2 linked regions of the Styela clava genome follow. The protein of the gene in region 2 binds, or shares a complex with, the protein of the main gene of each other region. Links are inferred from orthologs where the notes say so. Each region holds a gene or a part of one and is shown on either strand. Other genes may lie near its edges.

Region 1 (7,268 bases), on a different chromosome or scaffold from region 2:
GTATTTCTGCATGGGGCTCCGCTGATAAAACTCTTTTACGCAAAATTGAAATAATGCAGAATAGGGCCATTCGTGCTGTCTCTGGCAGTGGACCTTATGCCCAACTTGATCCAATCTATTATAAACTTCGTATTATTAAAATGGTGGATATTTATAAATTAGAGATATTGAAATTGATGCACCAACATCACAACAAAAAACTCCCTGTTACATTCACTGATTATTTCTTGAAACAAAGCAGCGTGCATTCTTATAGAACACGATCCTCTGCCAGTAGTTCCTATTATGTAACTCATTTTTCAACCAAACGTACTCAAAATTCGATAAAATATACAGGCGTTAAATTATGGAATGCTGTATCCGATAACATTCGAATTATGAATTACAATTCATTCAAACAAGCTTTGAAAAAATTTTACCTGGATTCCTATGTATCCTTCTAGTCTGCTTCAATAAGTGGTATAGATCCCTTATAAGTATAGTAGTGTACCGTATACAACCCATGTCCCCCACCTTTTGTGTGGCTCGATTTTTCTATAACTGGTCATTCGGTCCAGGATCTCTATTTTACCTAAACGATCGTGACTTTTTTCACCTCTTAATGCCATTGGCATTGTCACCATTTTTCTTTATTGTCCTCACAGAGCACGACCATTATCACTGAGTTCGCATCATTGCCCAAAGTACATGTGGAATGAACTTTTCCCATCAAAACAGTTTTTCCTGTCTGAATTGTACTTATATATTTATTTATTTATATATTGCCGTATCAGTACTGATACTTAATCCAACCCGGCTTCCCCTGTTATGGTTGCTGGGAATTCCCCTTCAGTTGCTAAGTTTCTGCAGCGTCCTGCCAGTCAACAATTTCATATTGTGATTGCGATCACCCGAGCATGACGCTGCGAGACTGACATACTGATTTATCGTAAACGCGTTTTTTCTGACTTTTACTCGACACGATGGATATTTGTTCCCATTTAAACATTTCTCTCTCGATTCCCTTCACATTTCTTTTTAAACCATTCTCTTTTGACTTGCTCTCTCGATTCGATTTACGTTTTCTAAATTTCCCCTGAGCTAACTTAATTCTAGATTAATCATTTCTTCCCCGACTCTCTTGATTCCATTCATACTTTTTATTTAAACTTTTCTCATTTGGCTTACTCTCTCGATTCGATTTACGTTTTCCAAATTTTTGCCCTGATCATATATAACTCAACCTTAATCATTTGACGTTTTTTTGACGTCATTCAGCTTTAATGGTGTCGCTGACACGATGACTTGATAGTCTTTCGCGGCTCCTCGTTAATTGCAGTCGAAACATTATGTGTCTGTTGTTTTCTTTTGCCTTGATTTACTATGCTTGTGTTGTTCATAATGTTTCTTGCACGACGAAAATAAATTATCTGAATCTGAATCTGAACAGTCTTAAAAGGCGCGACGGTGTGGCTCAACGGGCTAAGCGTTAGGAATACGCTCGCCACTGCACCTCTAATTACTCTGCGTGGGTTCGCAGGCTCGAATCCCATGCAGGGATGGTTATGTGCGAGAGGATTGCTGGACTCCTCGCCGTCGTTGGGTGGTTCACGTAACCGCTGGTCGGTTACGGCTTCCTCCACCACCAAGTCCATGCTTCCGAAAACAAACAATTTGACTTATCCCATACCCGACTTGGAATGGTAACCGGACGAGAGGCCGTGGTTCGCCATATGGATAAGCCGTCTTATCGGCTTTCCTCTCCCCCGGGATAAATATGTAAATTCTATCCTATCCTATCTAAAATAAGGATACAACATTTTGCAACAGTAAAGTATAAGGAGGGGTCAAGGGTCGGGGAAACATCCATCACGTCTATTTACAATCAATTGCTATGTGCCACATTTTCCATAAGCATGCGCGGCATATGACATACCACCTTTTAAAGTTTATTACATTTACCGGTACAGGATGTCGTATTCAATAGAGGTACCGGTACCCGCCGTACCGGTATGGTTTGGAATTCATGTAGGACAGTCCGGTAGGTACCGGTACTTGACCTTACTGTACCGGTACTAGTAAATAATAATACTTTGGCGCGGCGGTGTGGCTCAACGGGCGAATACGCTCGCCACCGCACCTCTAATTACTCTGCGTGGGTTTGCAGGTTCGAATCCCATGCAGGGACGAGAGGATTGTTGGACTCCTCGCCGTCGTTGGGTGGTTCACGTAACTGCTGGTCGGGTACAGCTTCCCCCACCGCCAAGTCCATGCTTCCGAAAACAAACAATATAACTAATCCCATACCCGACTTGGAATGGTAACCGGACGAGAGGCCGTAGTTCGCCATATGAATAAGCCGTCTTATCGGCTTTCCTTTCCCCCGGGATAAATAAGTAAATCCTTGTTTGCCTTGGAACGTGAACAAAGTTCTTAAATTTGAAATACGTTATCATAAGGTGAGTGAACACACACCGCTTCTTCTTGGCAAAACTTCCATCTTATATACCGGTACATTCTGTACGTTTTAAATCTTATCTAAGGTTTTGTTTGCTCTCTTGATTTCATAATCAGTTTTTATTTTTACCAATCATTTTATTGTTATGCTGATTATGGAGTCGAAATAAATTTATATCACATATGGCATATTCGATGTCTGATTTTTGGTATGTTTGACTCCCAGCAAAAATAAGTTAGACGATGTCTTTCTAATAAATGTTATTTTACTATTCCATAATTCACAAAATTTTATTCAATTTTATTTTCTAGTTTTTTTTCTTTTTTATTAAGGAATTTTTTTTCTTATTTTAGTATATCTCCGTACCTGTATGTGCGTTAGTGTAAATTAATTTCCGGCAAACCCAACCTAAATTCTGTAGGCTTCAACCTACAGGGGTGGTGACTCCTCTACGACCCATGGGCCGGGGCCACGGCCCATCTAATTGGGCCACATGGGCCGTGGCCCATCAAGCTATGGGCCGCGGCCCCGCCACCCGCCAGGAAAAATTTAATTATCTTACCAAAATTTTCAATTTTTACAAAATTGTCAATATTCGAACCAAAAAATAAACTCCTGTAGTATGTGTACCAGGTTAGGGTTTGGGCAAAATTTTGTTCAGATTTTTTACAGTATAGTTCTATTATGAGTTTGGGGACTGTTTGTGTTAGCCAAGTGAATAGTTTTTTTACACAACTTGATGGGCCGCGGCCCATAGCCTGATGGGCCGAGGCCCAATTTGATGGGTCGTGGCCCCGGCCCATGGGCCGAAGAGGAGTCACCACTTCCACTCGCTTCAACCGGGTCCGGTATAGTTTAGTACCACATGCACTTCTAGATGGCCTGGCTCAACAATTTTTGCATTATGTCATTCCTAACCCCCACCTGACTATGTCACCAAAACATTACGTCACTAAGACACAATAGTGGCGTAATAAATATCTCCCAAGTGTACAGATGGTTGTCCAAATTGCGCAGACGATCACCCGAAATCGAGCAAGCTATTTCTCTCGTTTTCTCGTCGCAGTGATCCCGATATGAGAGAGACAGCTGGCGTTAGTGAGTTCGGTATCGTCGGCGCAGATGCCATTTCGGACGATGGTAGCTATATATGGCAAGCTCTATGACGTGATTGTGACGTCGTAGTGACGTAATTTATGGATGACATAGTAGGGTGGGGGTTAGAAATAACATAAACAAAATTCGGTATGCTACGGTCAATTTTTTTTAAATGTTTTTATCAACTATTTTATCATCTGTTATGCTGATTATGGAGTCAAAATAAACTTATACTTATGTTAAATAAAATTGAAAAAAAAATTTATATATAATTTGGAAATAAACGTATTTACTTATATCTATTGTCATACAGTCAAATGTAAAACTCAGTTTGAGTTTAAATGTGAATTAGCGATTCTCAAGAAAAAAATTGTATGAATGCTAAGGCATAATCAATATTCTATGATTGTACGACTCGGTCACCGAGGTTAGTCAACAATGAACAAGTTGCCGAGCGACAGCACACATTCATAGTTGTATTTATTGGGATATCTAGTTATTGACTAATGACTGAAAGTTGAGGGGCTCAAAAGTCGTTTTGAGCAATATACCACATTTATAGACTGTCGCATTACATGATATCGAATATGGAAAAATTAGTGTTATCTCATCTCCATGATTCTTGCTATCAAATTATGGTATCTAAGAGTGCTATATAATGATTTATTACTAAATGATTTTTATTACCATCAATTTATTTCGAAAATTGTATTGTTTTAGGTTGATTCAGTGCAACCTAATTGTATGATTATTTACTTTAGTGATGGCTGACTTCCATTAGCTAGATGTTGTATTTTAAATTTAACAAATGTTGCTATTGCTACTCCTATGATATTAATAAATTTGTGACCCATGATTATTAATTAAGAAAGCCTTTCTATCTGGAAATATTAGAGCTAGATTCTAAGCTGTTGTTGTTTTCTCTATTGACCTATTTCCTTTCCTTTTGAGATAATATTTATCATTTTGTTTCATATCTATATTTTGCAGTGTTCATTACAATTGATATAGTATTATTAATATGCTTTATAAATGATATTTGCATAACATTGAGTCCCAAACCTTAAATTAAAATAATACTGAAATAAAACTAGCACTAATGCCGCGTTCAACTGAACGCCCTGGACGTTTACCGTCTCTGCGTGGTCCAAGGGATCTAACCCTTGGTGGTGTCAGGAAAAAGACTTTTACTCCTAACATCCCAGTGAGAAAAGAGAGAAGCAAGCAAGAACAAAAGACAGATGAAGTTTCAACAAGATCAAAAAAGGATGGCTCCAGACGGGATAGACAAAGAGGAAGAGGTAGGGGGCGTGGCAGGGGCAGACCTGAAATTATTCAATCACATTCTATCTTTGAAGCGGGACCTAGTGCAGAACCTGTGGCAAAACGTAACGATGCAGGTTTTGGGACGGGAGGTGGTGGAGGAGCATCAAAAGATGCAATTGAAAAACCAAGTATAAAACAGGAAATATTCGATGAAGATTTAGAGAAATCAAAGACTGAAGAAGCATTGAAAAATTTAGAGGGGGATTCTTTATTCATTGCTGATTTAGAAAACGACGATTCTCTGATGCCAACATCTCTTCCTATGTTCTCATCATTGTGGCCGCCTGGAGCAGGCATATCAAAGCAGACTATGAACGATCCGGAATCTTCAATTGAATGCAGTAATGTTTTTCTTGGCAGTGCTTTTAAACAAGAAGCAAAGGATCCAACAGACGTTCTTATATTTCAGTTACCTGACACTCTACCTGCTGTACCACCTTCCACTGATACACACATTAAAACTGAGCCCGGAATTAAAATAGAACCTGGAAAAGTAAAACAGGAACCCGGTCTTGATGTTGCAAATGCGGAAAATAAACATTGTACTCTGGAAGAATTATCAGAAGGCTATGTCGGTAAACTTCAGGTAATGAAGTCCGGTAAATGTAGACTGTTATTGGGAAATATAATACTGGATCTGACCAAAGGGACTCATTCGTCATTTCAGGAAGAACTTGTGTCCGTACGTTTACCACCTGAAGGCCAGGATTCTGCGCAGGGACATATGACTGTTTTAGGTAATATTTCGAATAAGATAATTTGTACTCCTGATATGGAGCATTTAATAAGGCAAACCCAAACATGAATTATTTTTCTAGACATTATTGAGTCAATATTTAAAATAACACAAAACTACTGTAATGATCCTATTTAGGCTTCGCTTCATTAATATTTTATATTTGTTTAAATTTTTAAAGTAAGAATGACGTTAAATTAAAAATGAAATGCTGAGTACAATATTTGTATCTGTGGAACTGAGTTATTATAGTTCAATTATTTAGGCAAAGGAATCTCGAGTCAAAATAGATGTTATGAGTCACCTTTCAGATCTAATGGAATGAAAGATAATTTTTAAAATTGTAAGCAAACTTTGTTTATTTCTTCAAATCAATCAAAGTCTTGTATCAATGGGAAAGTGATAGTTTTTAACATTATGGTTTCAAGAGCCACATTTGACTAACATGAGGCAATTAATCTTTTATATCACTTTATTGCGCAAAGCATAAATTTACAGCAAGTTCAGACACTGAAAAGGAAAAATCCCAAGACAAAATTATTATTATTTCATATTCTGAAACTGTTACACAAACAATAGTATTGACTGGTAGAAGTTGATACAAAAATAATGCTTAGGAAGAGAAATAATAACTCTACCTGCTGTACCACCTTCCACTGATACACACATTAAAACTGAGCCCGGAATTAAAATAGAACCTGGAAAAGTAAAACAGGAACCCGGTCTTGATGTTGCAAATGCGGAAAATAAACATTGTACACTGGAAGAATTATCAGAAGGCTGTGTCGGTAAACTTCAGGTAATGAAGTCCGGTAAATGTAGACTGTTATTGGGAAATATAATACTGGATCTGACCAAAGGGACTCATTCGTCATTTCAGGAAGAACTTGTGTCCGTACGTTTACCACCTGAAGGCCAGGATTCTGCGCAGGGACATATGACTGTTTTAGGTAATATTTCGAATATAATAATTTGTACTCCTGATATGGAGCATTTAATAAGGCAAACCCAAACATGAATTATTTTTCTAGACATTATTGAGTCAATATTTAAAATAACACAAAACTACTGTAATGATCCTATTTAGGCTTCGCTTCATTATTATTTTATATTTGTTTAAATTTTTAAAGTAAGAATGACATTAAATTAAAAATGAAATGCTGAGTACGCATATGACTTACAGTAATATTTGTATCTGTGGAATTGAGTGATTATAGTTCAATTTTTTAGGCAAAGGAATCTTCAGTCAAAATAGATGTTATGAGTCACCTTTCAGATGTAATGGAATGAAAGATAATTTTTTAAATTGCACTTTGTTAACTTCCTGTCTATTTCTTCAAATCAATCAAAGTCTTGTATCAATGGGAAAGTGATAGTTTTTAACATTATGGTTTCAAGAGCCACATTTGACTAACATGAGGCAATTAATCTTTTATATCACTTTATTGCGCAAAGCATAAATTTACAGCTCTTTTATATCACTTTATTGCGCAAAGCATAAATTTACAGCAAGTTCAGACACTGAAAAGGAAAAATCCCAAGACAAAATTATTATTATTTCATATTCTGAAACTGTTACACAAACAATAGTATTGACTGGTAGAAGTTGATACAAAAATAATGCTTAGGAAGAGAAATAATAAACTTCTTAAAATGTACTTTTGCTTTTAG
Region 2 (7,307 bases):
CTCTCAATCAATTTTTGTACATCTTCGAAAGGCAGTGCTGTGTCAACAACTACCTAGTGAATAAATATAGTCACAAAAATGTGTCTTTTTATCAGCACTACTGTTTGTGAAAGGAGATTGTTGTTTGAATAAAATAGTTTAAAATTCATTTTGTAATTATTGTAGGCTACTATCAATTTTTAAACATGGACAATGCTCATGAAATAGGGAATGTTGAAACATAAACTTGAATTATTACAACTTGAAAACTGAATCCAAGATAACTTTCAGTCCAAATTCAATAGTGACTGTAACACTGTCTTAGTTTTAATAGAATATTTGAAATGCGGAAGCCCATAGAAATTTCGTGAAGAATATGACTAGGGAAATTACAGTAATGAAGCTGAAGACTGCAACATGCCCCATATCTGGTTATTTACACAGTAAGTCTTTATAAGGTTGTGTTGATTCAAACTTATAGTTATTTATATTCTCCTTGCTATAATTAGCCAACCTGCTGGATGTTGAGGTTTATCTTGGATCCGATTATTTTGGAGTTTCCAGAAAGCACTTTCTCTACCTTTTCCACGCAAGTGTTACAAGTCATTGAGACAACAAACTCGAGCTGAAATAAGAGCAGAATATGATTTTTAACCTAAAGGCAGAAGAGAGAGAAATGATGATGAGGAAGCGATACAGTAACCACTCTATGACAACAAGGATTTCAGGAATCTTCTGCAATTAATTTTTCCTTACATAATTCTAACCTGCGCAGAGTTATTAGTCTTTTAATGCACAAATAGCCCATCTGAATGAAATAAAATTTTGTTCTGTATTCATCTCCCTGAAATGAGGAATTTCAATAACATAATAGGTAATACCGTAATGAAATTTACCTTTGCGACAGAATCATGCTCCATTGTACCCCAGTGTTATTGATGATATTATTGTACCGCGATGAAGTGTTCTCGCCTCCTTTCTCACTAGAATGTGAACCAGAAATCGGTTCTGGTATTGCGCAACCAAAGGTCGTTGAGGCGTGTCGATACCTCATTTATTTATTTAACCATATTTACGATTTAACCGTAAATAATTACAACTGATGATTTAACATAAGTGCCTAAATATACGACCGAAAAGTAGTTAGATAAAATAAAACTTCGGGGCTTTTGAAATGAATGTATATCCGAGCATCGATTTTCTTGTTTATTTACACAACAATAACAAATCATCAATAAGTTCACAATGACGTGGGAATTTATCCCACTGTTCAGACACTTCTTCCGCTCAGATACCGGTCTTGTTTATTGTTTTGAACTAAAATGATAGTTTTAAACATGTGAACCAGTTTGAGAGCGCAAACTCTCTAAAACGCTCTCAAAATCATATTTAAAAATTTTGCGATGATAAAAGTATTTTCAAGGGCCGGGGAAACGTCCATTTGCCCGCATGTATATGGTTGTTTCCCCGACGCTTGATCCCAGAATAATCTTTCCTATACTCAACGATTAACATAACTTTACTATAGCAAAATTTTGGATGCCTATTTTGCAAACGTTTTGACACTTTTTGTTCTCATCGTTTTGACACGAAGAGTTGACACTTACAAACTGATTTACATACTCATTATTTTCACTAAAATATACAACAACGTGTCGCTTATACGTACTAGCTAGTTTAGGTAATATTTATTCTGAGGGAGGCGATACGACTGCTTATCTTAATCACATGTTTTTCACTATTTTGTGTATTTTTCTGTTGGTAGGTGGGCACGTAGTCTACTTGTACGTTTTTAACTTTATTCTATCTCTGCATTATTTTTAAATATGTGCTACAACAATATTCATTACATTAATTATCACTACAACATATATTCCCATTACCATCGTACATTTGTCTATTATGTTTTTTGTGTTGTTTATGTCAGTACCGAAATAAAATGATTGATTAAAAATTTCAATTGTTATGCATCGTTGACTTTTTTCTGGTTGGTCACCGTTACAGAAACAAGAAAGCTATGCTCAAATATATGGACACATCAGTTTTATTTCGGTCACTCTGAAAGAAAACAACAAACGGACAAACAAAATGCAGAGGATCTGGAGAACGGGCATAACTTAATAAAAAAGGTAAAACCGTACAAGTACGTGCCCGTCCACCAAAAACAGTCAAAAGATTTTAATAAAACAAAAACACGATGTAAAATCGGGCAATACCTTCTAATTCAATTTTAAAATGTGAGACGTGTACATGTATAACAACAATCTGCGCTCTGTTCCATCATCCACAACTAGATTCATAAAAGGATCGAAAGCTCGCAAAACACCTCTAACAGATCGTCCACAATTTAACCTCAAATCCAATCTTTTATCAATAAACTTCTTTAATTCCGGTGGTTGGGCTTTGATCATGTTGATATTACGCGATACAAATCCAACTGTAGATAACGAAACACACAGTGCGTAGCATTCTCTAGTCCAGGGTGGTTTAAACCCAGGCCCGCGGGCCACATATTAGCCGCGGCTTCATTATCTGTGGCCCGCGTCGCATTCGAAGAGTAATGAAAAAATCGCACTCCGTGTTGTTTCGTAATAAAATTAATCAGAAAATTTTTTTGATATGTTGTTACATAGTATATATTTACGGTTACATCACTAATGTCACTGAATTGACTAGTGTTATGGCCAGCTGAGGCAACTAGCGAAGTTGAATAATGTGCTTGGCAGTCTAAATTATTGTCTAGCTTTCCATCTTTTTGGTCGGGAATATATGCTAACAATATATGCATCATAGAAAACTAAAAATCGAACGCAGATTCTATTAGCCTGGGATGGCTATATGTCTAATAACTAAGTGTTTGCACAATAAAAGGGTTTGTTTTGCATTGCACTGTTTACCTATTTTTTATGCACTATTGTGGCCCGCAAACAATGCAAAAATAATTTTGTGGCCCGCGGAGCCGGCAACCTTGGACCACCCTGCTCTAGTGTTTTCAAGTATCCACGGCCGCACCCGACGACGGTCGGAACATCGTTGTATCTATTCAGTTAACCATGGTTGTATGTTAGCTTGCTCTCGAAACACGATTTGACCTCAAAGTTCAGGAAACAACAAAAGCGAAATTTTGATACGCCAGACTAATTCCCCCCCTCCCTCCAAGAGGCGATAGGCGGAATGACGAACTGTCTTCTCAACGTTGGGGAGAGCGGTTTGGTAGCGTGGCCGAGCGGTCTAAGGCGCTGGTTTAAGGCACCAGTCATTTCGATGGCGTGGGTTCGAATCCCACCGCTGCCAGTATTTTCGCAACACATTCTCGATAATCAACCCTTTGTCGGCGATCTGATATGACTGTTTTCGCTTTTTTCTTGTCAACACACTGACACACATGTTCAGATGTTACCGTGCTGTCCGACTGTTGGCGGTGTTTCCACGTGATCTTGTGAATTCAGGGCTGCCACTCTATGTTTTATATCAAGATCTAGATGTAAAATTTGGCGTCTAGATGTTTTTTTTCGACGTTCCGAATATTATCCAGTGAGAAATAAATAAAACGATGTGTATAGACTAATACGGTACCGTACTGTAATACAGTACCGGTACTGCAGTAATATGTGAATGAATATTATTTCATTAATTACAGACTTAGAAGTAAGTTAAATATATTGATGTAGACTATCATTAAATTGTATTCGTCTACCGGTACGGGTACGGTACCATATGTAATTAAATTATTCGAATAACGAATTAAACATGTTTAGAACATGTGACGTTTCAGTTACATAATTTAATAGAAAGGTGGACGTTGGTCCGATGAATCAATGTTTAGTATTGTATATTTGTATTGTTGCCAGGTGGTGAGAATAATTCGGTAGTTCAAGTTGCTCACTTCAGAATTTTAAAATGATAGCCTAAAGTTATTTAAATGCTATTGAATTTGCCTTTCTTTACTTTAAAGTGCTATGAACCATACAAAAATAAACTGAGAAAGAGCATAAAGCTGTAAAGACAGATTTACTGAATGTTGCATTTCTTATAAGTTGCTGATTTGGTTGTCAAAAAAATATGTACAGCAAAAACTCATAAAAACCCCTCTGAAGTGACAATATCAACAGATGTTAGCTTCTCCCACATCTAATCCTATGTAATATATTAAACTTTGGGTGCTCCCGAAGTATGCGAACCAAGATGGCGGACATCAGAACGTAACAGGTTAGGGTTAGGCGATAATTTTTTTCCAATTTTCCTTATTTTAGTCCTATTAAATTATCAGTTCGAAGACTAGCCAAGAGCCTCCCGTAGTATTTATACCTAAAATTATGGCCTAACCCTAACCTAGTACACATATTACATTCCGATGTCCGCCATCTTGGTTCGCATACTTCGGGAGCCCCAAACTTTGTATGCTCTTGTTTCGTCGATTTTCATCAAATTTAATGACTTCATCTAGATGTATTTTCTAGATGTTTTATTTTTCAATCTAGATGTTTTTCGAGGTCAATCTAAATGTTTTTAGTCAGACAAAAGTAGCAGCCCTACACATGATGCAGACCTCATTTTGTATCTGTGCCCAGTACGGGTAGTCCATGCTCAAGGCCGCTCAAAAGCACGGCGACGTTACCGTACGTTTGGATTTTCAGATTTTAAATATTGCTTTCAATATCTTATTTCATGCATTTTTTGTCACATACTGACAGACCTTCCAAAACTCTGTAACTGCTGAATTGTGTAACAATATACTGATATAAGGGCAAACAATCTTAATCTTGGTTTTGTGGTTAGAGTTTAAGATTAATCGTCAGATGACAGGATAATGGAAACCACCACAGAAGATGAAGTTGTGAAAGAGGTAGGTCTTACTCTTGGTGATATAATTAAAATTTCATGCAGGAAGCGCTTAATGCAGTTAATGGATGGATATTTCATTCATTCTGTCACCAATATATTTGGCTCAAGTTAGTCAACTGTCGAAATATCTATCATTCTAATTTTCTATGCATAGGCTTGATGAAATTTTGCAAAATTATGCACTATGTTACTCGACATATTATTGTAATTCAAATCTAAGTTCTTGTTGATTTTTCTGTACTTTCATTTCTTTTGGAAATGAACTATATTGGACCATAGGATCAATCTGTATATACAATGGACCCTAATAATGAATCTAAATTTATTGTTTCAGTTTGATGTCTATTTGTCCAAAAGCTTGTCTGGACGCCTTTACTTGCTGCAATATCCAGTGCAAAGTGTAAAACGAAAATATGGGTCTCAGGATCGAGATACGGCCAAAATCAAACCACAAAATAATAAAGTAAATTCACTGTTTAATTTTCCTTATCGTTGGCAGGTCTTTTATCAAAAATTTATGCTAACTTTGGTTAATAACCAGTCAGGTTATTCTGTTAAAATTATTAACTGGGTGTAATTTCATGTTAAGCTTGCTGATGTGCAAAGTCAAACTTGTTAATGGAGAAATGTTGATAGATATCTTTGTATGCCTTAGTTAGCTGCAATAGAACATCTAAAAAAAATTTCAAAACTGTCACATAAGGAGACACGTTCCTTTTTACTAATTGTTGTGAGCACCATATCTCACTTTGTTTTTTCCATTATCCAGATTGAAATGGATGTATCACTTGACATCAGCAGTCCAAACTATGACCAAAGCAAAGGAGAGCAGATTGCATTGAATGTTGATGGAAATGTCGGAACAATACAAGCATCAACCACATTCGATACAAATGTTATGGACAGACAGACGTTACAATCAAGCTGCGTGCCAGCGAGAGGAAAACGATATGTATCTGCTATTGTTCAACATGGTAAACCTAGTCTTTCTTGGTGAAAGTTACAGCCATGTTCTACTATCTTACTTTAAATATCTATTAAGAAATCAAATAAAAGATTAAGAAACCACTAAAATTACTTGACATTTTTATAGATGAGGTACATCTGACTCCAATATCTCATGTCATGCAACTTAAGCCAAGTTTTAAATATATGGATAGAGCGGAACATAGAGCATCACAAGCTGCAAAGGCCAAAGCTGCAGCCGAAGCAGGTAATAATGACTTTCATGTCTACATTTCCCACGGATATGCAGCAGTTAATGAACAAGGTCTAGGTCTTCTATCCTAAATAAATAAACATTGCTAGCCTGCTAAAATTATTTTAGTTATGTATGTATTAAACTTCATGTAAGTTTTTATATATTTTTTTTATTTCTTATGATGTTATTTTATTAAATGATAAGGATATATCTAATTTTCTTGGAAGATTCGTCCCAAGATGAGGCAGAAGAAGCTAAGGCTGTAACCGTTCGAGTGAAAGGAGCTGAATCAGAAGCAGTTCGATTGGCTCGAGAACGATCTTATGCTGCTTATGAAAAAAGAATTGCAGATGAAAAATGGATAGAAGTTAAAGTACACCATAAATTGGTGAGACAGTTACAAATATTGAGCACATGTGTTTTGAACATTATGTGGTATGGATGGTTTCCAATGAAATCAATTTTCTATTTATTAATTAAACTTTCCTGTTATTTGCATAATGGAGAGATTACAATTTTGAGTTATTGTGTATTTGCCCAAAGTTCAATACAACTCAAAAATATAGCTTCAAAACATTTCATGTGTTTCTTTAACCAAATTGCAATTTATCACAATATTGAGAGGGCTTAAATTTTTTTTTGACATAACAGGAAAATTCTCTTATCATAATGTGAAATCTTATTGCATATTTTTAAAGGACAGTTATGCAGAAAGAGAAAGACAGAGACTTATTTGCCAAAACACTAGACAACCTGACGATAAATTAAGCCCAGCTCTTACAGGTATAATTTATAATTTTGTTTTGAATGATTTGAAATTCTAAATTTTGCTGAGATTTGAATACAGCCTGACTCGGTATCGTATGTTTCTTTTTACAGCTTTCTCTGAAATGGTACAAACACCACATGAATACCTCACCAAACTAATTCCAGTATATGATGAACATTCAGTTGATAACAGTGCAATACCTGACAATGTTCTATCTTTATCTCTGTTGAAAAATGAAACATTAGGGGATCAACTGAAACTTCTAATGAAGAATGGTATGATTAGTATATGATGTATGGTTTAGTTTATCTTTTAATATTCATTATTTGGGGTTAGATATGTGAGGAAATTTTATGAAAAAAGAGCTTTTCGTTCAGATTATATTTTCAATTCAAAATTGTTATATTTTCATGTTGAAATTTCAACCCATTCATTATTCTTTCGAATGGGATTTTACAGATTCCCAATTTTTTCATGTTAAAATGCCAATCTCTATTATACCCATAGTGGTTG

What was found. Proteins that work in one complex are often made in the same cells at the same time.
Region 1: DNA-directed RNA polymerase III subunit RPC5-like (region 2) and DNA-directed RNA polymerase III subunit RPC4-like share a complex: the UniProt entries of both Homo sapiens proteins name them as parts of the RNA polymerase III complex. The link is inferred for Styela clava from reciprocal best matches to the Homo sapiens genes POLR3E and POLR3D.

Annotation. Positions count from the first base shown.
Region 1 is NC_135255.1:8,600,493-8,607,760, reverse strand, and holds DNA-directed RNA polymerase III subunit RPC4-like, read left to right. Parts: upstream 1-4,501; 5' UTR 4,502-4,634; coding exon 4,635-5,666; 3' UTR 5,667-6,764; downstream 6,765-7,268. UniProt on the Homo sapiens protein: DNA-dependent RNA polymerase catalyzes the transcription of DNA into RNA using the four ribonucleoside triphosphates as substrates.
Region 2 is NC_135260.1:20,672,490-20,679,796, forward strand, and holds the start of DNA-directed RNA polymerase III subunit RPC5-like, read left to right. Parts: upstream 1-4,304; 5' UTR 4,305-4,789; coding exon 4,790-4,825; intron 4,826-5,158; coding exon 5,159-5,287; intron 5,288-5,593; coding exon 5,594-5,798; intron 5,799-5,917; coding exon 5,918-6,037; intron 6,038-6,252; coding exon 6,253-6,413; intron 6,414-6,723; coding exon 6,724-6,808; intron 6,809-6,904; coding exon 6,905-7,069; intron 7,070-7,307. Other genes in the region: copper chaperone for superoxide dismutase-like, read right to left, coding at 1-53, 494-604, 876-899. UniProt on the Homo sapiens protein: DNA-dependent RNA polymerase catalyzes the transcription of DNA into RNA using the four ribonucleoside triphosphates as substrates.